4 linked regions of the Rattus norvegicus genome follow. The protein of the gene in region 4 purifies or fractionates together with the protein of the main gene of each other region. This does not show direct contact. Links are inferred from orthologs where the notes say so. Each region holds a gene or a part of one and is shown on either strand. Other genes may lie near its edges.

Region 1 (6,079 bases), about 42 Mb from region 4:
GCCAGAGAGCAAGCTGTCCCTCTTGCCCTCAAGGGTGAGGCTGGACCTCAGTACATGGCTGGCCACACCACCTGAGCATGAGGGGCTAGAGCCACCGTGGAACTATACACTGTTAATGGTTTTAATATATATGGCTTATAACATATTCTGTATAAACGAGGCTATCCTCTATCCCTCCCCACCAACACATACCCATTTTTAATTCCACGACCAGGCATGGTCAAGGCTGTCTTTTGAGTATGAATGAGGGCTGCCATGCCTGTCCTCAGTGATACAACTCTCTCCTGCTGCCAAGATTGCTTGAGCTGCTAGGGTCAGAGGAGGGGACAATCAGACTGGTGCTGTCTGCTAGCTCTTCTCAGAAGCCTAAGGGCCACAATAGCAGGTAGCTTCTGTCCTCTGGGCCTACAGTGACACAGGAGAGTTCTAAACTTCACTGCACCACGTGGCAGCCTTGCACTTGGGAGTTTTAAGCAGAGGTGGCATCTGGTTTTTAAATGCACTTTCTGCACTGGCTCCTTCCCGCTCAGTAGGCTAAGATGTCTTCAGGCGGGCAGGGCTCCCTTACCTCAGCAGTAGAGGACAGTTGGGACCAGCCCAAAGGCTGCAGCGGGCCTGCTGTGGGGAGCACCTGGCTGCCCCCTTCACTGACCAGGGGTATAGTGCTCTAGCAAGGGAGTCCCTTGCCCTGGGCCAGCCACCCCAGGCCAGATTCCAAAACTAAGACCTTCCCATCTCCCCCACACGGTGCTGAGGCTCCCTGCTGAAATGCAATTAAAGCAACTGATTTTCTAGTGCTGGTATTTATTGACTACCGTGCAGAAGGGCTATCTTTCTATTCACATCCAACCTTTTGTTGCGTGTTTCTGTTTTTTAATACTTTAGGATCTGCTCTGTGGGAACAGACCTTGTAAATAACCACTGTTCATATGTGTGGCAGAATGATAAGGGGGCCTCTCTCAGGGGGCCCTGGAGCCAGGGAAGTGGCAGAGCCAGCCCAACTCTGACTGTGACCCAGGAACGACCACCAGAGGTCAGTTAGTTTGTACAGGAAATGGGCCTAAGCCCTTGGGAGGGAGGCAGAACGGGCTCAGTTAGTAGCACGATGACGCATGAAGGAGATTATGTTGTGCTCTTTATTGCCAAAAATAAAAACTTTTAAAAAGACAGCTACTGTTGATCAATAAATACTCCTTTTCTGTACTAGTGTGTGCTTCCCCCTAGGCTGCCTGAAAACCACTATGTAGGGCCAGGGATGCTAAACCCCTATAAAACCTGCCTTGTCTAACACCAGTGGAACCCCTGGCCATCTCTCCGATGTCCTTCCAGGAGGCAACGTGAGCAAGCGCAGTCCTTAGCCCAGAAACCAGAAGGGCCCCAGGGCCTGGAATCCGGTCAACTTTGAACCTAGTCTCCGCAGCAGGCGGGCTAGTTTATGGTGAGCACGTCACTCTGGATCTCATGGCTTAACTGGGTCTGTAAATCACTCAGCTTCTTCTTTAGCCCAGACAGGGCTGAGAGGACAATGGTCTCAGGGCGCAGTGAGCCACATGACTCCACATTGTAGTAAAACCTGAGAGACGAGGGGGTGAGAGCTCTCATGAGGCAAAGCCTGGGCTTCAAACAGACTTCGTTCTGAGACTGGACTCCATTCCTACGAGGCCTTTGATCTTAGGACAGGGCTGACTTCCCTTTCCCTAGAACCCCTTACGCAGAGTGGTCCAGGCCCACTTCACAGTTCCTCGGGGAAGCTACGAAAAGGGCATTGTTGTAAAAACCCTAAGATGACTCTGGGCGTGCATGTCTACACTGGAGACAGCAGGAAGAAAACCAAACACGATTCTGGCTACAGCTCTTCAGTTCTTCAGGGGAGGGCTATGGTTAATTTGTTCTGGCTTGAGCCTAAACAGGAAGGCCAGAAATAGCATGGGGCAGTAAGAAGGTCCCTTTCTTTATGGTGACTAGAGAGGGATGAAGACCAACTCAAGATGTGCGAGTTTGGCAGTTGGTTCTATCACGTGGTGGGGATGAGGGTGGGAGTGGGGGATGGGGTGTGGTGTGGTGAGCTTGGGTGTGTGACTGCCTAACAGCCTCCCACACCTACACTTACAATTACAGTCCCAAGCAGGACTGGGGTCTTACCTCTCTGGCTTGCCGTTGGGGTCATAGGGAGCCTGTGACTCATCCTCATCCAGCTCAGAGTACTCACTCTTTGGCCTGAGGGCAAGCACAGGTAAAGCAAAGGTGGCTGCTTCTACTGTTAGCAAGGCTCTCAGAGCACCCACCTACCTAAATCTCACTACAGCCATTGCTATTCCCCCCTCCCCCCAGAACATACCATTCCTCAGGCTTGGGATACACTGTATGCCTAAGTGCGTTGTCTGGATCGTATTCAAAAGCTACCCCCGCAGTAGGGTTCCACTTGGCATGCTCCTTGCCAAAGCCCTTCTTGGCATAGGCTCGAAGTCTCAGCTCCTGGCCTTTCCTCAGCTTGACAATAAGGATGTCTGCAGGGAGAGGTGAGAGTGAGGCAGAAACAAAAGGGACAAGTTCTCCAACTTGTGTCCTGCAGTACTGCATGAAGAGAAAAATATCAAGAGACCAGGCGACTCAAAAGGGTCTCTGCTCTGACCACCAGCTTGACTGCCCCATCCCTTTCCCATCCAGCCCGACCCCCTTACCATCCTGCTCCACATAGTCATTGGGGTCATTATCCCGGTTCCGGGATGTCACCTGTAGGAAGTCCAAACAAGTATGCATTAGCCTCTCACCTCTCAATCACCTCTGGCAACTGTCTCTCAGTAAATCCAGCCTGTAAGCTGCCAAGCCGGGGAAAGGAGGCTGAGAAGGAGATGGCAGAGTTGTCCAAAGAGCCCCGTGGCCTTTAAAAGGGTCTTTGGACAACATAGGGCACATGGCCCCAATACTGCTCTGTTCAGGAACTCAGGGCCAGCACGTCTAGGTGGCAGTTAAAGTAGATGATCACAGGGTAGGTTAGCATCTCATAAAAGACCCACTCTAATCTACCCCACTTGGAGCCAGGCAGAGAAGAGCAAAGGCACTAACCGGGATAACCCGGGGGCTGTTGGAGATGAGATCTCGGGAGGTAACATGGCGCGTCTGGTCTTCATTGCACCTCACGTCGAGCGTGAACTCCACGGAGCACTCTGGGCAGAACTCTTCACATGTGCAGTCCTGAGGCAGGAAGGGCAGTTGGATCGGGAAGACTGGACTCTCTGCTTTTCCTAACCAGCTCCTTTCAACTTCTTCTTGGTGAAAAGGGGTGACCCCAGTCCCAGGCCCTTTTGGGCTGTGACATCTGGTTCACCTCATGGTAACTTGTATACCTGCTGGCAACCACACTTCCTTTCCAGGGCCACTGCTACAGGTGACCACTAGGGGGCACACTGCTAATTCAGCAGTGCCTAGAGAGGACCAAGGTTTTATGCAACAATAGAGTTCTGTCTATGCAGATCAGCTTGGGAATTACTGAAAATACAAACAAGGGAAGAACAGGAAAACAGACAAAAAACAACAAAAACACCCCCAAAACCCAAACAACTTTGAAGTTCTAGATTACTTGGGGAGGAGGGGGCTGGCACTCACAGCCTAGGCTGGCCTGGAATTTAGGATGTAGGTGAAACTTAAATTACTGATCCTCCTGCTGCTACTACTGCCATGTGAACGATTATAGGCACGTGTCACAACATCCAGTAATCTTTACTTCAAAACTTCTTATGGAAAATTCTACCCACATACAGAACCAGAGAGGACAGATGGCCACTTGTCATATGCCCACCTTCCAGCTTCCTTAATTATCAACATTTGCCACTCTTTGTGGATGTTTTGTGTGTTCCGAGACAGAGTTTTTCTCACTAGGTAACCCTGTAAATGGTGGGATACAGGCACACAGCCGTAGAGGACTGCAGCACACTGATCTGTGCTCAAGTGCGCAGAAGGCAAGGGCAGGGCGCCTGCAGCTTATTTTCTTAGGGAAGAACAGGGCAGACGTAGTAAAACGTTATCATCTGGTAACCACAGAGAAACAAAACAAAGGGGGATTTATTACTGTTTCTCAGACACGCACGGGGACACATGCCTTTAATGACCAAGGGAAACACTCAGGAGGCAGGGCAGGCAGATTTCAGTTCAAGGCCAGCCAGGGCTACATAGCGAGAGTTCCTTAAAACTAACACAAAAAATGGAAACAATAAGTGGATGAAGGGTGTGAGGCTGGCTGTTAAAAGTGACTACGGCTCAGCTGCCAGAGCAACACCCAGTAGTTCACAACTGCCTATAACTAGCTCCAGGGGCTCCGAGCGATGCCCTCTTTTGACCCTAGCCCACCTTCACAGACAGAGGCAGACATACACACACATAAAAGTGGCTGTGTTCCCCCACCCTTTTGGTTGTTTTGAGACAGGGTTTCTCTGTACAGCCCTGGCTGTCCTGGAACTCAAACAGATCCACCTGCCTCTGCTTCCCAAGCTGAGCCTAGAGGCATGTGCCGCCACACCTGCCCGTGATGATGCCTGGATGTGCTGAGAGCAATGTGAAGCCCCATCAGAACCAAGGACCACACTACTAAGACATCATCTCAACAATGAGCATGCTACAGTCAGCTGGAAGGAAGATGCCCAGAAAGATCCCAGGGAGAACTGGACCCCCCTCCCCCGACCTGTGCTTCCTGTCTATCTGCCAACACACGTACCCGGGAGTACTGCAGCTTGTCCACAATGTCATCACTAGTGAGGGGGATTAAACCTGCAAGACACAGAAAAGTGCTCTGCAGAACAGCCAACAGCCAAGCCACCACAAGAACCTCAGAGGTCAGGCAGGCTAGGGACAGGGAGCATCCCACTTTGATCTCTTCCTCAACACCGGCACTCACCAAGCCTGTGCGCGATGAATTCATCATGAAGGACCGAGGAGTTGGCATCAATCTGAACCCAGTCAATGGCTGGAAAAGGCGGCAACAAGACAGGACGAATGAGAACTAGCCATCAGATTCATTTACAGACCTATAGCACTGTCTCACATCACTCAGTGCCCAGCAGCACTCGGGAGGCAGAGGCCAGCCTTGTCTACAAATTGAGTTCCAGGACAGCTAGGGCTACAAAAGAAAAACAGTGTCTCCAAAGCAAAAACAAAAACAAAAAAAACCAAAACAAACAAAAAAGAAAGAATCAAGTCAGTGCTTACAAAGTTGAAGGTGACCAGACCAGGCCAGACTAGGCTGTAAGAGGCTTCAAAGTTTAGCTCCAGGTTTAGGCCTTCCACATTTCATATATATAATCTTCCTGCCCCAGTGAACTGGGTATAGGCCTTGTTAGTGATACACATACACCCCTACCTACCTCAGAGAATTTAGAGATATTTAGGGAATTGAGTACTTTAAACCAGCTACCTGTGCCAATACCAAATCCAAGAATAAAAGCTATTTGGGCACCTAAAAGTTGAGGGAAACATGGGTTGGAGGAATGGCTCAGAGGTTAAGAGGTTCCTGGCAGGGTTGGGGATTTAGCTCAGAGGTAGAGCATTTGCCTAGCAAGCGTAAGGCCCTGGGTTCGGTCCCCAGCTCTGAAAAAAAGGGGGGGGGGAAGGGTTCCTGGCACCCATGTCAGGTAGCTCACAACCCCTGTAACTCCAGCTTCAGGGGGATCTGAGACTCCTGGGCACCTCTGGCACCTGCATTCACCTGTAAACACCTACACACAGAGACAGTTAAAAACAATTTAAAGGGCTGGAGAGATGGCTCAGCCCTTAAGAGCACTGACTGCTTTTCCAGAGGTGCTGAGGTCAATTCCCAGCAACCACATGGTGGCTCATAACCATCTGTAATGGGATCTGGAGCCCTCTTCTGGTTTGTCTGAAGACAGCAACAGTGTACTGACATACATAAAATAAATAAATATTAAAAAAAAAATTTAAAAATTTTCAAGTTAGGGAAAACATCTCAAGAGTAAAAAGTAAAACATCACAAGTTCATGGCCCACACCTTATTTATGATATCACCAGAGAGCCCACTTAGAATTTCAGTGTTACTCCCATCAAGGGATGGTTCACTGGATGGCTTCAA
Region 2 (5,296 bases), on a different chromosome or scaffold from region 4:
CGCACTCACCCTTATAAATGGGCATCAAAAGCAAATACACACAAGTGTGTTTAAATGCTTCACAGAACTCATAGGGCTTTTGTTTTCAACTTTTAGATAAGAGACTGGATAGAAAGCAAAGAATTCAAGAAGTGAGGACACAATTAACACTATATAAACCCATCTTAACCCTTTATAATTGTGACTCCCCAACCTAGTTACAACAAGAACATAACTTTACCATAATATTACACTAGAAATTTAGTGACCTTAACTGGCTACCAATAATATATTTCCCAAACAACCTTCAAAACACAACGGCCCGACTAAGAACCTACAGAGAAGACTGCCACCTACTGAAACCTAAAAGAATTAAAATGAGTCTCAACAGTCAAGACATTTGAAATATGGGTCACGAGTAGAATATGATGCTAAAATTAACTACCACCTACTATTGAAAACCCACAGATGTCACCAACATAATAAAAATTGTGCCTTACTGAGGAGACAACTAAGCAGAAGTACTGTGATCGTTGGCCATAGAGCCTTTCCCTGCACTGTGGGTTAATGATTAAGGAAAGGCACATTTCAAAAGCACAAAGGTTTCTGTGATCCAAAAACAAGAAGACAGCATTGCATGCAGAAACCCTCCTACATGCTACATTGTCATTAAAATTATACACGTGTGTTTCCTAAGATAATTCATAAAGATAACTATTTTAATTAGGTAGAAACTTCAAACTCTGTAGCACTTACTTATCGTCCCAGCACCTCTGTTCCCTCCGTTGCTAAGGAGCTAAGTGGGGGCAACCTTTACACTAGAATTAGTTCTGCACACTAGGAAGGAACACAACTTACTTGCACTTTATAATTTTAGGACTAGCAGTTAAGCTGAGCAATAAAGAAACACTATTTTAAACTGTACTGCCTTAAGGAGGAACGCTGCTCTGGGCTCAGTCAGTCAGAGAAGATGCACGGAACCCTCAGGAGACTGGAGGCCCCAGGGAGGCTAGAGGCCTGAGGGGAGGGGACGTCCTCAGGAGACGGGCAGGGAGAAGGTATGGGATCTGGAATGTAAATCTGTAGTATAAAAAAATAAAAGATTAAATAAAAAGGAATATAAAAAAATAAACTTACCAAGTACAAGAAATATCCACCAAAGCCAATATTGTCCATTGAAATAGCCAGTAAAATAGTCCGAAAACTATGGGGTAAACATAAATATATTAATCATATTTGTATAACTACATTTGAATATTTGTATTATCCTAGGTTTCAGAATAAATTATCTCTTTAAATAATCTTTAATGCTTAAAAATAGCATATAAAAACAGCACAAAAGGAAAGGGCAGGAATAATACTTAATGGTGAAAAAATTCTTATGCGATTGTAAACTTCCGTAAAGTACTTTATAAACAAAACCTCCAAACTGCTTGCAAAAAGATAAATGCCTAAATGTTATCTATTGGAATCAAACTTTTTTTTTTCATTGAAAAGTCAGTTTCTTATGCAGTCCCAAAGCCACAGCCACATCCCAAATGGGCCAGAGCCACCTGCTGCTTTGGGTATTAACACAAAAGCCACAGTAGGTTAATCTTATCAGATGGGGATGTTCTGGTGACCTCTAAAATGGAGAGTTTTTGACCTTCTGTTACACCCCCTACTGTTAATCACTGCCAAAAATACTAGGCACAGAAAGACCCCCCAACTCATTAGAAACTTTTTATTTCAAACTAGATGCCTGACATTCAGCTCCCAACAGTGAGCGGAGAATAGCTAAATGAGCCTCGAAGTGGCATTTCAACAGTGGTTGCTGCCGGCCATGTCCTGTGTGAGGTGGGCCTTCAGCAGGTGGCCTCACAGCAGAGAGCACAGGGGCCTTCTCTAGAGCAGACACTGCACTCTCAGAGCCTGGTAGTACATCAGTGCAGCGTCCTTAGCAGGTAACTCACACTACATCTTAAAGTGCCTCCAAATAATTACTTTTAAGTGTTTCAGATAACATATTCTAAAAGTTACAAACAAAAAAGATAGTTTTGATTGATTTCTTTCTACTGATTTCCAAATTGAATCCAATTTACCTAAAAATTGTGAAAAAAGGTAGAATGATGCTTGAACCTGAAATTAATTAAAAGCATTTCCAATGATTTGTTGGTAATTTCTATAAGAGCTTAAAAATCTACAGCTTTGGTAATAGTAAAAGTACAAATTATACATGGTGTTGCAACTTGGGAAGCATATAAATCAAGATTATCAAAACATGTCTTTAAAACCTCTGAAGTACTTTCTTTGGAAGAATTTTAAATTAATCAAGAGCTATTACCTACGGTCTACGCTAAGAGTTTTAAAGATTCACAAGAGTTTGAATATCCCAGCCTTTGGAACATCTAAACCACCATTGCTGCAGACTCCCACATATAAGACACACAATGAGAAAACGATAACTGAAAAACCACTTTATATTCAAGAGAAGTTTCCTAAGAGTCTTAGAAGCTGTGGAAAACAAAAAAGGAAAGGCCCACAACTCTGTTTTCAGCACTCCGCATGTTACCTGACACTCAGCAAGCAGAATGCCAATGAGAGTGAGGTTCTAAAACCCCCAGGGTACAGGCCATACCGGATGGACGGACTTCCTTTCTGTGTACCAGGAATCACGCTAGCAAAGCATCAACTTAGGAAACTTTAGACAGTAGGTTTGAATTGTTTGCTATGTTCAATGAGAAATTCCATTTGAGTAATAGCAACAGTTCTAATACAGCTAAGTCTGAACAAACGTAACTCAACTCTTTTCAGTTTCTCCAGCAAGAAAATCTGCAAGAGGATTGTAGCTTTGTCACTGTGTATATACACCATCTAGCTGATTTAAGCTCATGGTAGAAACTCACAGGACATCATCTGAAGTAAATTTAAAACAAAAAACTATCAGAGGACAGTTCTCATAATGGTTCAACCGTCAATCATGTTATAATAGACCCCAAAAGATTAACAGTCAGAAACCTACAGTCTGATATGTACCAGTGTAGGAGTTGTGAAAAGAATCAAAGCTATAAAACAAGTTCAAAACTAATAAAAATATCATTCTGAGTATTAATATTTGTATAATGGCTACTTTAATAAATTATACTTGTTAATAAATTAATAAAACATCTGAAGCATTTAACAGAAACAAACATTTAGACCTGTGATTCTATTGACAACTTTAGCCAAGATTTAGCTCTTTCAACCAGAAAGCAATGTCTAAGTACTGATTATTTGTATAGTTTACATACTCTAGTAATTGTGTAACATTTAAGATTCTGTGAACAGACTTGTGATCTCGGTTTCGTCACACACAGAACTGCTCTTACAGTATGCTTCCGTGCTCCTCCCAGGTGTAGTGGACAGGAGTGAGTATCCGTATGCCTCTATGGATAAACGTGGTTTTGCCACGTGTGGCTTGTCTTTGTGATTACACACTTTACTCATCTGACTTTTCTTAAGCCTCAAAGTATAAACTCTGACACTGAATGACGCTGGTTACTGCATTAAGACTTTAGTCCTCCTCATTTTCAGGCTCCATTCTCCCAGCGCACTGGCTTTAGAGTGGTAGACACACAGCTTCGCAGACAACATGACACAATGAATAAAGCTACCCTTGATCACCCTTCTAGGTCCATCCTTGAAAAACCCAGGAGAGACTGCAGAAATGGCTCACTATGTAAAGACACTTGTCACCAAGTCTAATGAACTTGAAAATCCATATGGTAGAAGGTAAGGAGGAAACCATCGAGATGCTCACCCTGACAATAAGGATCCATTTGATCAGTGAGAGGCCAAATCCACAGATAGCACCGTATCTTCCAGCTATGGTATTGGTGATACAGAAGGATAAGCAGAATCCAAGCCAGTTGAATATGAATGCCACTGCAAATAACAGAAATATGATTTAAGGTCATAATTCCTACACAAATAAAGAGAAACATAGTAATAACAATACTTCATTCACTGCTAGAATGAAACCACTTTATTTTAACTTTATACGTGGGCTGCTCTTAGAGACCGCGCAGTTTGCTGTCTGCAGATCTATCGGTTACTAAGCAAATAAACTTCACCCCATGGGTCATCGCCGAAGTCAGGACAGGAGCTCAAACGGCAGGTCATGATGCACAGGCCATGGAGGGTGCAGCTTGCTTGCCAGCTTCCTTCCGCACGGCTCTCCTCCTGCTTCCTTGAACTCAGGAGCACATGGGCTAGGCCCTCCCCTACTGATCACTAATTACAAAAATGGCCTACAGGCTGATCTTATTCTGGGATGTTCTTAATTAAGGTTCCTTCTTCTCAAATAACTTTGGATTGTATCAAGTAGCCATAAATCCAGCATATTCTACAAGTCGCAATTTACATTTCAAAACGGTCCTTCTGGTTTTCCTTTTTGTTCCTGTTGTTTAAGTTTCAAGAACACTGATTTCCCTTTCAGCTTCCCTGCGGTCTAAATAGGAATGATCCGGGTAACAAACTGGAGTGTCTCATTCTGACACACAGAACACAAATGGCTAAACCTTGAGGGAGAAGTTTTCTCCAAAACCCACATTTTAAAGCACTAGCATTCCAAGTCACTTGCAAGTGGGTCAATTATTTATTGGATCAAATCTAGAGTTGAATTAACTGACAAGCAACTCCTATTCTATTCACTTAAAATGTTTTTTTTTTTTTTGGTTCTTTTTTTTTGGAGCTGGGGATCGAACCCAGGGCCTTGTGCTTCCTAGGCAAGCGCTCTACCACTGAGCTAAATCCCCAACCCCCACTTAAAATGTTTCTAAGAGGCACTTGATGATACTACCTGAATGAGATTACTTCTAATATTCTTACTAACCATTCGGAGATACACACATTTCTTCCCTTTTAATTTCTGTACATGAAATGTAATTATGTCATTAAATTTAATTGTAAATCTTTTCGAACATGACATGAGTTAAGAAGCAAAAAGATAAATGTTGTAACTAGAGGTCAAGAATTGAACCTATTAAAAATTTTTATTAAAAATCATATATTTTCTGTGATTTTGTTTGCACACATGTAACGTGAAATGCTTAAGTGAGAAGCTCTATTAAAGCCAGTTTAAACATGCGGTATAAACCCAGTTGCAATCTGAAGAATAACCACTAGATGGTAGTAAGTACCAACAAATCTAGGTTTATCAAAACAGGCTCTTGGGCTACCAAAAAAAATTTTAACTACTGTGTGAAGCATTTATAAAACAGAAATAACTTGTAGAAATATAATTTCACAGAATTTTACTAAAATCTAGAAGTTTTGTACTAAATCCATGAATATATAT
Region 3 (5,296 bases), on a different chromosome or scaffold from region 4:
GGCATTGAACTCAGGACCTCTGGAAGAGCAGCCAGTGCTCTTAACTGATGACCATCTCTCCAGCCCCAGAATAACACACTTTTACAGGATTGGTATAAAAGGGAAAAGAGTATTGCAGACCTAAGGAGATTCGGTCAAACCCAGTGTGTCCAAACAGGTGACTTGTGTCCCCCAAGGATTGTCACCTCTCAAGCAGGCAGACTGATAGGCCCTTTCTTTAGTCAGTTATTTAGCTGTCTGCCTTGAGACAGGGTCTCAGGTAGCCCAGGTTGGCCCCAAACTTGCTCTATATCGAAGGCTAACCTTGAAGCTTTGAAGCTCTGTCTCCACCTCCCACGATGACAAGCATACACCCCCGCGCCTGGTTCGTTCAGTCCCATGGGTTGAATTCAGTGCTTCACGAATGCTGTCAATGCACCCCACCCACTGAGTGCATCCTGGCCATGACAGCTTCTTCTTACCATCAGCCGGGCGGAGTCCCTGCCCCGCTCACCGCTCCTTCTGTCTTCTGTGAACACCCAGCCTCTTCACCCATCCCCTCCTCAGCCACCAGCCCCACCATGCTTCCCACCCACCACTGGGGATTTCTGAAGCGTGCAAAATTGAAAAAAATAAATAAACAATAAGGCTTTGAAAATGGTAGGTTGTGTGTGGTCTCAGAAAAGATGTTAAAAGCTGGGAAGGAAAATGGCTCCTAAGAGGCTCTTCAGTGCTTTACTTGTAGGTTGAGCCAAAACGAGCTGGCCAAGCTAAACTTAAGTGCGAGCAGCTTTGCGTGACAGGGGTCGTATATCATAGGGAGCCCTGGGTTGTCGGCAGCAGGAGCAGCAGCTCTGGAATGACTACTAGTGCTGCTTACCACTCAGAAGCCTCCGGTGGCTTTCTGTCCTCCGTAGGCTAACATCCAAGCTGTCTTCAGGAAGGTGAGGTCTTTCCTGCCTCCCAGCCCAGCGCCTCCCCTCTCTCTTGCTCCTCTCCAGCCACCCTGCAGGCCTTTCTCATTCTCAGACACACCGTGGTTTTTTTTTCGTACATCTGGACTTTGCACTTACTGTGTTCTACCTAAATTCCCCACAAGGTAACTGTCGTTGTAAGGGGTATCAGCCTTGGCCCGTATCTAAAGGAACCATCCTGGTAGACATCATGCAGAGCCCTGTGGAGATGTGACTTAGAAATTGCTGTTTGTTCTCCTGCTCATGGATCCTAACCTCAGGAGGATGGATAACAGTTCACCCCTGACTTGTTTCCGTTTTGCCTTTGTGTGTGACTCAGGAGGGTGGACGGACCAAAAGCCATCGATACTGGCCCAAACTGGGGTCCAAGCACAGCTCAGCCACCTACGGCAAGTTCAAGGTCACCACCAAGTTCCGGACAGATTCTGGTTGCTATGCAACCACGGGCCTAAAGGTGAAGCACCTGCTCTCGGGGCAGGAGAGGACGGTGTGGCACTTGCAGTACACCGACTGGCCCCACCACGGATGCCCAGAGGATGTCCAAGGATTTTTGTGTAAGTTTTTCCCAGACTGAGTTTTACTGCATGTGTCAGCAGCCTGGCAGTTGAGTGGGCAAGCCTACTCTCAAGCCACGGGAGTGTTAGAATGCTGAGGTGTTGGTCCCCTCATCTCTATATAGGACAGAGAAGAGTAATAAATATCCCTTCTCCGCTAATCTCTTACTCGAGTCTGCAAGAATGTGGTAACCTAACTCTGCTTCGATCCAGACTTTCAGCGTCTCGCTGATCAGTCACTATCTAACGTGCCATGACATAGATGAATCCTGAGGACTGCACACCAAGTCAAAAGATGGAGACATAAATGCATGTGCACGGTGGCGTTTGTCCTGCCTGGGGCACCTATATCAGGAAAAACCGTTACGTGCATCTCTGGTTTCAGGGCACAGCTGGTTTAAGATACTGTTCATGACACTATATTTGTGCTGTGTGTCCCAGGTAGTTCCCAAGGAAGGTAACCAACAACAAGTGGGCATACTGTACCCACCAAGAGGCCCCACTGTGTGAACAGAGGCCCACTGTGTGCAGAGACCCACTGTGCACATGTTGGACAACATCACAAACTTGGCGTTTATTTGGAATGTTTAGAATCTGCTGTGGGGTCTGAGAAGGCTCATGACAGAGATGAGGTTGTCAATACCAAGTGGGGAAGAACCACTTCTCCAGTTCTATCAGCTTCTGATGTTTTGACAGAAGGATTCCACTTACTGGTAACATGGGGACAGGCCTTGAGGAGCACAAAGAACACAGAGTAGGGCAGCAATGGGGCAAAGAATTCAAAGCCCCAGAGAGGTTAAGTGACCAGTTGTTTATCCCAGTTGTCAGTGAAGCAGGGTGTGACCTCTGCAGACCTTCCCATCCTCCAAACAGCGATAATTATTCGATTCAGAGAATCTTCTGCTAGTGGACTTGTTAAAGTTGTCTCTCAGAAGAAAATCCAGATTAATACCAATAGACCGGCTTAATGATTGACAGGTCTGCTGACAGGTGGGGCCCAGGAGATGCTCTCCAGTGTAGTCAGATCTTTAAGTCAGAACTGGTTTGAGGAGTGACAGACTAAGCTACTGGGGGATACAGAGCATCCCTTTGTGGGTTGCCCAAGGGTTGATTTGGTAAGAATCTTGATGCAGTGATGTTGTATATCTCCATGGGAATGCTGGCTGTTGTAGAGTCCAAAGATCCATTTTTCCTCCTTATGTGATTATGGCAAGAACCATTAACGGACCCTGTGGCTGTTTTCCTTTTGTGTCCCTTTGGGACAATAAACATACCTTTGTGCACCCCCGCTGGGGTGGGCAGCTGCTAGAAGCTGTGAAAGCATGCCTTGAACCCTCCACCTACAGGCTTGCTGTCCGCAGAAGTGGGGTTCCTATTGTATGGTCACATAACTTCATGCCAGTGGATTCCCTCAAAGCCTTTTTTTTATAATACATCTGGAAACGAATTCGAGCCTTCGATGACATTCACTCATTTTGTGATGGGGAAGAGGATGGGGCAGGTGGCTGCACTTTCCCCAACAGGACTTGGCTCTGACAGGAGGGCATTTCAAGGGGAGTTAGCGGATGTTCTGATCCCAGTCTGTTAGTAGTATGAAATGCTATAAGTAATGTCTAGGATCATCTGCTAGGGGGACTTGGGGATTTGCAGAGAGGGAAACAGAATTTAATTTTTAAAAAAGAACTATTTAAAGAACAAGTTCTCCTGTGGACTAATTGACTCCCAGCTGGTCTCTCCTGGCTTCGGGGTGTTACCAGCCAAATGATTAGCGTCTTATAAGAATTGCAAATCATTATGACCGAAAACAAAAGATTCACCCTCAATCCTGGCACCGCTCCCCCTATCCCCCTGGACGTAAAGTCATGTGACACACTTGGGTGACGAGATTTACATTTTGTCCCGCAGCCTACTTGGAGGAAATCCAGTCAGTCAGACGCCACACCAACAGCGTGCTGGAAGGCGTCAAGACCAGGCACCCCCCCATCGTGGTTCACTGCAGCGCAGGGGTGGGAAGGACCGGCGTGGTGATTCTCTCCGAGCTCATGATCTACTGCCTAGAGCATAATGAAGTGAGTCGTCCGCCTCTCTCTTGTTAGTTTATGAGATGGAAAGTGCACAGGGACCTGTGTGCGCATGTGTGGAGGCCAGAGATCAACCTCGGCGGACATCCTTTAGACACCATCGCCTGCTTTCAAGTCAGTGTCTCTCCTCACCTCACTAAACAGGCTAGGCTGTCTGGCCAGGGAGCCCCAGGGCGCCTCCAGTCTCCACTTCCCAGTGCTGGGATTAAGTCCACACTATCATGCATAGTTACCGTTCACAACAACTATGGCTTTGGGGAACTTAACTTGAATCCTCACACTTCTGTGGTGGGCGAGCAGTTTACTGAACCACGGCCCCAAGCTTCTCTCTGAGCACTGTACCTTGATGTTCTAGAAAGATCCAGCAAACCTGACTGCCGTGGGCATCCCTTTCCTGAAGCAGGCAGATGAGCTCTGCCATGGGCTGTTGGCCACGGTACATGGCTCTCCCACATGGGACTTGGATGTGTGTGTCTTGTGTTTCTGGGATGTGCTTTGCCCCAAATCCTGGGTGACGATGCCTCTAGGTAGAACACGGTTGTTGTTCCTTATGGTGCAGTTTTTATTTGGGGGTGTTTGCCCTTGTCCAGCTTGGCAGTATATTATGAATGTAGCTCACAGGCTGGCTATGTGGGCCAGCACCGGCTGTTCTGTGTTGTAATGGCACAGGGTGTGTGTTACCTCGTACTGCCATAGATTCTGGAGTTACAGCGGGAGACGTGGACAACAGTTCTGCATTCATTCACATAAGATTGTGTGCAGGGGCAGTGGTTTGGGATTCTGCGCTCTCTCTCTCTCTCTCTCTCTCTCTCTCTCTCTCTCTCTCTCTCTCTCTCTCTCTGTGTGTGTGTGTGTGTGTGTATTTATTTTTGAAAGTTCTAGGGATATAACCCAGAACTCCGCACCTGTCAGGCAAGCGCTCTACACTGAGCTATCCGCCTCACCTGTCAAGGGAGTTTCCTTGTGCTTTTTAGTGGGTCTTGCTATGTAATCCCTACACTGGGCCCTAAGCCCTAGGCTGTAAGGTTAATAAAGGGACATCCTTTCCTCTGTCCCATGAAAAGCTAGGCCCAGATGAAGAAATCCAGGCCCAGAAGCTATCCTGCGATGTAGCTGACGCTGTGTAGCTTTAAGCCGCTGTCTGATGGCAGGAAGCAAACTCTCCTCCTCCTCTGACATCAGTTCCTGCCTGCTCACTGTTTCCAGCAAGCTGTTCAGTTTCCAAGTTATGCAGCGAGGAACTCTAACTGCGTGTAATAGATGCTTTAGTGTGTGTGTGTGTGTGTGTGTGTGTGTGTGTGTGTGTGTTTGTGTTTGTGTATACTAGTAGACTCAGAGATTTGGAAATCAGCTTTATTTAGTGCTGCCATCTTGTCCGCTGTGAAAGGCCTTAGCTCTTTGAAGACCCATCTGCAACCTCTCTGTCAAGGCTGGAGATCGTGTCGCTCACCATGCATCAAAGCCAGCCTGACTCGGAATGCGTGTGGACTGGGGGATCCAGCCAACAGGGATTCAGTGGGCTCCCTGAGGCTGAGTGGCTCAGTCCTCCCCCATCTCCCCACTCCCCACCCCCACTCCCCTGCAGTGTGTTCCCCTCAGTGCCCAGCTGCAGGCCAGCACATTCCTTGGTAGTATGTGGCAGTCCTGGAAAACCTTGTGTTCTCATGATATTCAGAGACATCAGGGCGACTCGGACAATTCATGTCCT
Region 4 (5,987 bases):
CATTATACATTTACAATCTTTTCTCTGACCCTTTTCTGTTTTTTTTTTTTTAAGATTTATTTATTTCATGTATGTGAATATACTCTAGCTGTGTTCAGACACACCAGAAGAGAGCATCGGATCCCATTACAGATGGTTGTGAGCCACCATGTGGTTGCTGGGATTTGAACTCAGGACCTCTGGAAGAGCAGCCAGTGCTCTTAACCACTGAGACATCTCTCCAGTCCTTTTCTGTTTTATCTACATGTCTTTTCTTTCCTTTTCTTCTCGTAACCCACATTATACCTGAACATTTGAACTTCTAGCAATCCTCCTGCCTCTACCTCCCAAGTGCTCAGATTACAGGTATATTTGCCACTTATACCCAATCTAATAGCATACTTTTTATATTTGAAAACTATTTTAAGATGAAATTTTTATCGCTTCTATGAACTAAAAATACTATGTCTAGAAATAAAAAACCTAGGTGGTAGAAAAGGTGGCTCATCAGGTAAAGGTATCTGCTACCACCTGACAACTGGAACTCGATTCCCAGGATCCATATAGTAGGAGAGAACCAACTCTTGCATTTGTTCACTAGTTCTAGAATCCAACATCAGGGCTTCAGCAAGCCTCAGTTTCTTCATCCTCGAATGAAGCAATGCAACCTTCATAGAGCTGGCATTGAATGAGACACTGGGCCAGGCGCAATGGTGAGTGAAGGCCTGGACCCTAACTCTTGAAAGGGAGAGACAAGAGAATCTATCCTAAGTTCCTCGGCAACATAACCAGTTTGAGGCCAGCCTGAGCTATAACTTACCTTCTATCAAAAAGCCAAAAAAATCACAGTTTGACCCTGTCTCAAAAGAGAGAAAGGGGGGGTTGGGGATTTAGTTCAGTGGTAGAGCGCTTGCCTAGCAAGTGCAAGACCCTGGGTTCGGTCCCCAGCTCCGAAAAAAAGAAAAGGGGAAAAAAAAAAAGAGAAAGGAAGGAAGGAAGGAAGGGAGGGAGAGAGGGAGGGGAAGGGGAGGGGAGGTTGGTTGAGCACAGTTAATAGTACAGTTTTAATTTCAGCACTTGGGAGGCAGAAGCAGGTGGATCTTCATGAGTTCTAGGCCAGCCAGGTCTACACAGTAAAACTTTGTCTCAAATAAATAACCAAAAAAATAAAATTAAATTAAATTAAATGAGAATCTGGTATCAGTTCTTTGCAGATGGAGACATAGTCATTAAGTGAAAGACTAATATGGCCTGAGTGGTACAGGCCTCAAATCCCAACTACTGTGGAGACGAAGGCAAAAGGATCACAAGATCAAGGCTTGCCTGAGCTACGGGAATTTGAAATCACACCAGACAACTTACTGAGATCCTGTCTCAAAAGGAAAAAATAAAAATTACAAAAAAGAAGGGCTATGGAGCTCAGTGGTAAGGTACAATGTTCAACAAAAACCAAAAAAAAAAAAAAAAAAAAAAAAAAAAAAAGTAAAAGAGACAGACAAGCCAATTGAAGCCTTTTCCTCATGGTTTTCCCATAGACCAATAACACTGAACAGAGAAAGTGACAGAAAACTTATGTTCAAACCCTTTGTTCACTACATACAGCAAGCAGTGTGACCTTTAAAACCTCATTTATTTCTCAAACACTGACCAAGTACTCCTAACACAGAGCTAGTAGCCAAAGAAGTCATGTAATATTGGATCACAGCCCTTGAATGATTTACAGTCCTAGCAGGAAGAAGACAATAAACAAGGAAGAAAAACAAAATGAAGTGTCAGGTTGGGACTAACGAGATACAGGTAAGAGCACCTATAGCTCTTCCACAGGACCAAAGTTCAGTTCCCAGCATGCAAACCCAGAGGCTCACAACCACCTATATCCCTAGCTCCAAGGGACCCAACGCTCTCATCTGGCCTCAGTGAGCTCATACACACAGGAACACACACACACAAACAAAATTACATTTTTTTTTTTTTTTGGTTCTTTTTTTCGGAGCTGGGGACCGAACCCAGGGCCTTGCGCTTCCTAGGTAAGCGCTCTACCACTGAGCTAAATTCCCAGCCCCAAAATTACATCTTTTATTTTAAGTCAACTCTCTCAGTTTGTTATCTATGAAGTGGGAATGACTTCTCGAGACTGCTACAAAAATTAACTTTTAAATGCTTGTAATATATCCCCAAGTCTTCAACCCCTAATGTATTAATGTTTTTCCCCCCAGCGACCTTTGATTCTGGTTCTTGTCACTGTACCATTTGAACCCTGACACCTTCGTTGCACTCATAAACTTCATTTCACTTCTGCAAACCTTAGCAAATGTGAAGGGGAAAGAGGATGTTTGTTTATTCAGGTCTTACTGGTTAGCCCAGGCTGGCCTGGAACTTGAGGCCATCTTCAGGACTCAGCCTAGAGGACTAAGAATCTTAAGATGGGTATTTTAGCCTCAAAAACTAAGATCTAGGTCACAGTTCTAAGGAACACAACAGAAACTTCTCAGTCACCCCACCTAGTCACAGCTGGTCAAGATAAGCAGTCACACAGTAAAGGAAGCTGCATAATTTAAGCTTTAGAGGAAACGTATCAAAGCGATATGGGAAGACTTTCAACGGTCCAAGACTTCAGCAGTCAATGCATTGCTGCGGTAACGCTGGTCCATGTCGCTGCTGACAACAGTGTAGGTTAAAAGTCTTGTTATGATCACAGCAAAGCACCTACACGTCTTTAATTTTTTTTTTTTTATTTTTGCCTCGAAGATGACCCGATCTGGGAGCATCTCAAAGAAAGATGATAGGAAGGGCTAAGCTCCCAACAAGTGGAAACCCTACCCAAACAGGGCAAAGTGGGTGTGACCAGAGTCAGACTACCAAGACTCAGGGATCCCTCCTGAAGTTTAAAAACTAAACAGGACCGGTATCAAAGTCTCGGGTCGCCATCATCTTCAAAGAGGACGGAAGGAAGAGACTCTCAGAATGGGGTCCAGGCCGCAACGTCCAGATTTTTCTTCCAGTCTCTACTAGCCAGACGCCCACTCCCAGGCAGCCCCTTCCGGGGAGCATGCGAGTCTCCCCGGCCGAAGTCGGCCCCCCTTCACAGACGCGGCTCCTCCACACCGCAGGCGCCCAGGCTGGGGTCCCCTTCCGGAAACGCCAGCAACGGGCGACTCCCGCCGGGCCCCGCGCCCACCCCGCCCGGGCGCGAGTCGGGACACCCCTCCTCGGAGGCCGGAACCGCGCGCCAGGCCCCTCCCACAGGAAGCCGCCGCCCCCCGGCGCCCGCCCCGCGCCGCCCCCGGCCCCTCGCGCCGCCCGCCGCCCCTGGCTGTCCCGCGCCACCCGCTCGCTGCCGAGCCCCCAGTGCCCGCGCAACCTACCTGCCGCGGCCACACCAGCGGCGCCTAACTCCGCTCCACTTCCGCCTTCCAGCGCCCGCACTCAGACCGGGTCACGTGGGCGCGCGCGGTCACCTGACCCGGAAGAGGCTGGCCGGGGCGCGCAGGTGCGGACCACCTAGAGCCGGGCTGTGAGCATTTGACCCGGTGAGGGCCGGAGTGAAAGGACCACCAGGGCTATGCTGGAGCGGGCGTATAAAATGAGGGTTCACCGGTACCAGGGGCTTTATTTATTCCTTTGGAAGCAGGTAGAATTGTTTTTTCCCCATAGTACAGGTGGGAGAAGATCATCCGGTCAGTTAAGTCGGCAAATCTTGTAGGGGTTGCTGGATAAAAACCAGTACGCTCCTTACATTTGAATGTCAGATAAACCGTGTCACTATAAGCATGTCCCCAAATTTGCAAAGAATGTATTGACACCATAGATGTACGCTGGTCAAAACCTTAAGCATCTCGTGTAATTTTGACAGCCGGTGCCAACTATGTGCAAGGCCTTGTTCTCAGTTCTGGAAGTATAAATACCCTGGCCTTTGTAAGTTATCTGCTATTGTTCCAAAAAACAAAACTGGGAAGGGGGATGGGAGTGGGGCACGGGACAGGACACAGACGACATGACATCCCTTCAAAACTTTTCTCGAGTCCATAAGTGCCCCCATGGGGAATCAACTCCCATTATCTCCGTATATGCAGTAAACTGAACCTTATGAATTAGCAAACAGGGAGTCTATGTAACCCTGGCTGACCTGGAACCCAATGCTGTCCTTGGCCTCCTAATTCCTGGCATTGTAGGCGTACCTCACCACAGCCTGGACAGCAGAAACTTTCTGGGTTTTGCAAGATTGACAGTCGAATCTAACTGTCTGCACAGAACTAGTCAAGGGCGTTAAAACTGACCTGTGTTCCCAGCCATTTTGCTAACTTTCTGGTTTTTCTTTGGAACGGTCTTGTTTCAAGTGCTCCAACTAACCTCGAACTTTTAATTCCATTACCTCAACCTCTGAGTAGTTAGGATTACCAGCTTATACCATTGGGGCGGGAGGCGGGGGTGAGAGAGGAGACCAGTGGAGGCAGAGTTTGTAACCTAGGCTGGCATTCACCTCCCAGTTGATTGTTCAGCTTACAGATAGGTGCCATACCACCTGGCTTTTTGTTGGGTTTGGTTTTGTTAACTGAAATATTAAATTTTTTTTTCTTTTCTTTTCTTTTTTTTTTTTTTTCGGAGCTGGGGACCGAACCCAGGGCCTTGCGCTTGCTAGGCAAGCGCTCTACCACTGAGCTAAATCCCCAACCCCCATATTAAATTTTTATTACATTTTATTCTATAGATGTTTCGCTGGCATGTATACTGTGTACCAGCTGAGTGTCAGGAGCCTTTGCTGAGGCGTATCTACCAAAAGGAAGTCTTTATTAGCCACTCTGTGACGACACTAGGTGTTCAGGAGCCCTGTGTAGTATCGAGCCTTTCACAGGCCAAGGTTTTAAATGCAAAACTCATGTTCTGGGTTGACATACTCCAGTTAGCAGAAAGAGTCAGAAGCAGAACTACAGAAGCCAAAAGGCAAGGTTAGCACATTTAGAGACTCCCAGACACATGGACTTGGGTGGATTAGGTCTTTGTTTTCACTTTGGCAGCTGATGCTGTCTGTGTGCTGAGTTTTATGGCCTGAGTGGACTCCCACCATGGAGTCAGCTCTTAGCGAGTGAGTCAAATTATGGACTAAAGAGGGAGAAGTGGGCCAGGAAGTGAAGTGCACCTTTACTCCCAGCACTCAGAAAGCAGAAGCCAGTTATCTTTGTGAGTTGAAGGCCAGCCTGGTCTACAGAGCAAGTTCCAGGACAGCCAGAGCTACATAGAAAAGGTGTTTCAAAACATAAAAAGCATAGTTGGTCCTAAGGACCATTAATTTTACTGAACGGGATACACTGATAGATAACTGGCCTATCATTCAGCCAATCAGAATGAGAATTAGAGGTCCATCCAGTGCTGACAGCAGAGTAGTTAGCCAGGGGACCAAGAAAACAGACTTTTTTTTTTTTTTAAGATTTGTTTAAAAAAGAAAAAAAAAGATTTGTTTATTTTATGAGTACACTGTAGCTGTCTTCATGCACACCAGAAGAGGGCATCAGATCTCATTACAGATGATTGTGAGCCACCATGTGGTTACTGGGAATTGAACTCAGAACCTCTGGAAGAGCAGTCAGTGCTCTTAACCTCCGAGCCATCTCTGCAGCCCAAGACTGGTATTATTTGATTTATGTCATTGTCTGTTTTTCTTTTTGAAGTTTTCCTCTACCATGACAAGACTTTTTCCTAATTACTCTTGATCAATTAGCATAAAAATGACAGGTGTCCCCCAAAGCCATACATAGTTTCCTTTATCTCCTGAGAAGTATATCCAAGTCACACTTTTATCAGTCAATGGGCTGACAGTCTGATTTCTGGCTGGGGATGATGAACTCTATCCTAGGATCCCTTCCTGTGGTATTGATTGCCCTGGTTTCCTCTGTTTTCCAAAGGCCAGAATCTTCCTTAAGGGATTTTTCAGGAAGTCTAAGTTTCACAACTCTAATTTTTGCAATGGAAACTCCCTTGTTCCAGGCAACCAGAGGGCCAGGCCACAGGGC

Evidence for each region. The genes of interacting proteins can lie anywhere in the genome.
Region 1: the proteins of Wwp2 (region 4) and Polr2c purify together in Homo sapiens (affinity purification with mass spectrometry; 3 studies listed by BioGRID and IntAct, with this or other methods). This does not show direct contact. The link is inferred for Rattus norvegicus from reciprocal best matches to the Homo sapiens genes WWP2 and POLR2C.
Region 2: the proteins of Wwp2 (region 4) and Ndfip2 purify together in Homo sapiens (affinity purification with western blotting; 3 studies listed by BioGRID and IntAct, with this or other methods). This does not show direct contact. The link is inferred for Rattus norvegicus from reciprocal best matches to the Homo sapiens genes WWP2 and NDFIP2.
Region 3: the proteins of Wwp2 (region 4) and Ptpn14 purify together in Homo sapiens (affinity purification with mass spectrometry; 3 studies listed by BioGRID). This does not show direct contact. The link is inferred for Rattus norvegicus from reciprocal best matches to the Homo sapiens genes WWP2 and PTPN14.

What each region holds. Positions count from the first base shown.
Region 1 is NC_086037.1:10,163,031-10,169,109, forward strand, and holds the end of Polr2c (DNA-directed RNA polymerase II subunit RPB3), read right to left. Parts: intron 4,961-6,079; coding exon 4,892-4,960; intron 4,765-4,891; coding exon 4,712-4,764; intron 3,196-4,711; coding exon 3,067-3,195; intron 2,734-3,066; coding exon 2,682-2,733; intron 2,508-2,681; coding exon 2,339-2,507; intron 2,218-2,338; coding exon 2,143-2,217; intron 1,574-2,142; coding exon 1,429-1,573; 3' UTR 1,118-1,428; downstream 1-1,117. UniProt on the Homo sapiens protein: Core component of RNA polymerase II (Pol II), a DNA-dependent RNA polymerase which synthesizes mRNA precursors and many functional non-coding RNAs using the four ribonucleoside triphosphates as substrates.
Region 2 is NC_086033.1:88,490,753-88,496,048, reverse strand, and holds part of Ndfip2 (NEDD4 family-interacting protein 2), read right to left. Parts: intron 4,757-5,296; exon of another isoform or gene 4,684-4,756; intron 3,883-4,683; coding exon 3,758-3,882; intron 1,184-3,757; coding exon 1,117-1,183; intron 1-1,116. UniProt on the Homo sapiens protein: Activates HECT domain-containing E3 ubiquitin-protein ligases, including ITCH, NEDD4, NEDD4L, SMURF2, WWP1 and WWP2, and consequently modulates the stability of their targets. As a result, may control many cellular processes.
Region 3 is NC_086031.1:103,937,815-103,943,110, forward strand, and holds part of Ptpn14 (tyrosine-protein phosphatase non-receptor type 14), read left to right. Parts: intron 1-1,272; coding exon 1,273-1,507; intron 1,508-3,412; coding exon 3,413-3,576; intron 3,577-5,296. UniProt on the Homo sapiens protein: Protein tyrosine phosphatase which may play a role in the regulation of lymphangiogenesis, cell-cell adhesion, cell-matrix adhesion, cell migration, cell growth and also regulates TGF-beta gene expression, thereby modulating epithelial-mesenchymal transition.
Region 4 is NC_086037.1:52,253,985-52,259,971, reverse strand, and holds the start of Wwp2 (NEDD4-like E3 ubiquitin-protein ligase WWP2), read right to left. Parts: upstream 3,410-5,987; 5' UTR 3,345-3,409; intron 1-3,344. UniProt on the Homo sapiens protein: E3 ubiquitin-protein ligase which accepts ubiquitin from an E2 ubiquitin-conjugating enzyme in the form of a thioester and then directly transfers the ubiquitin to targeted substrates.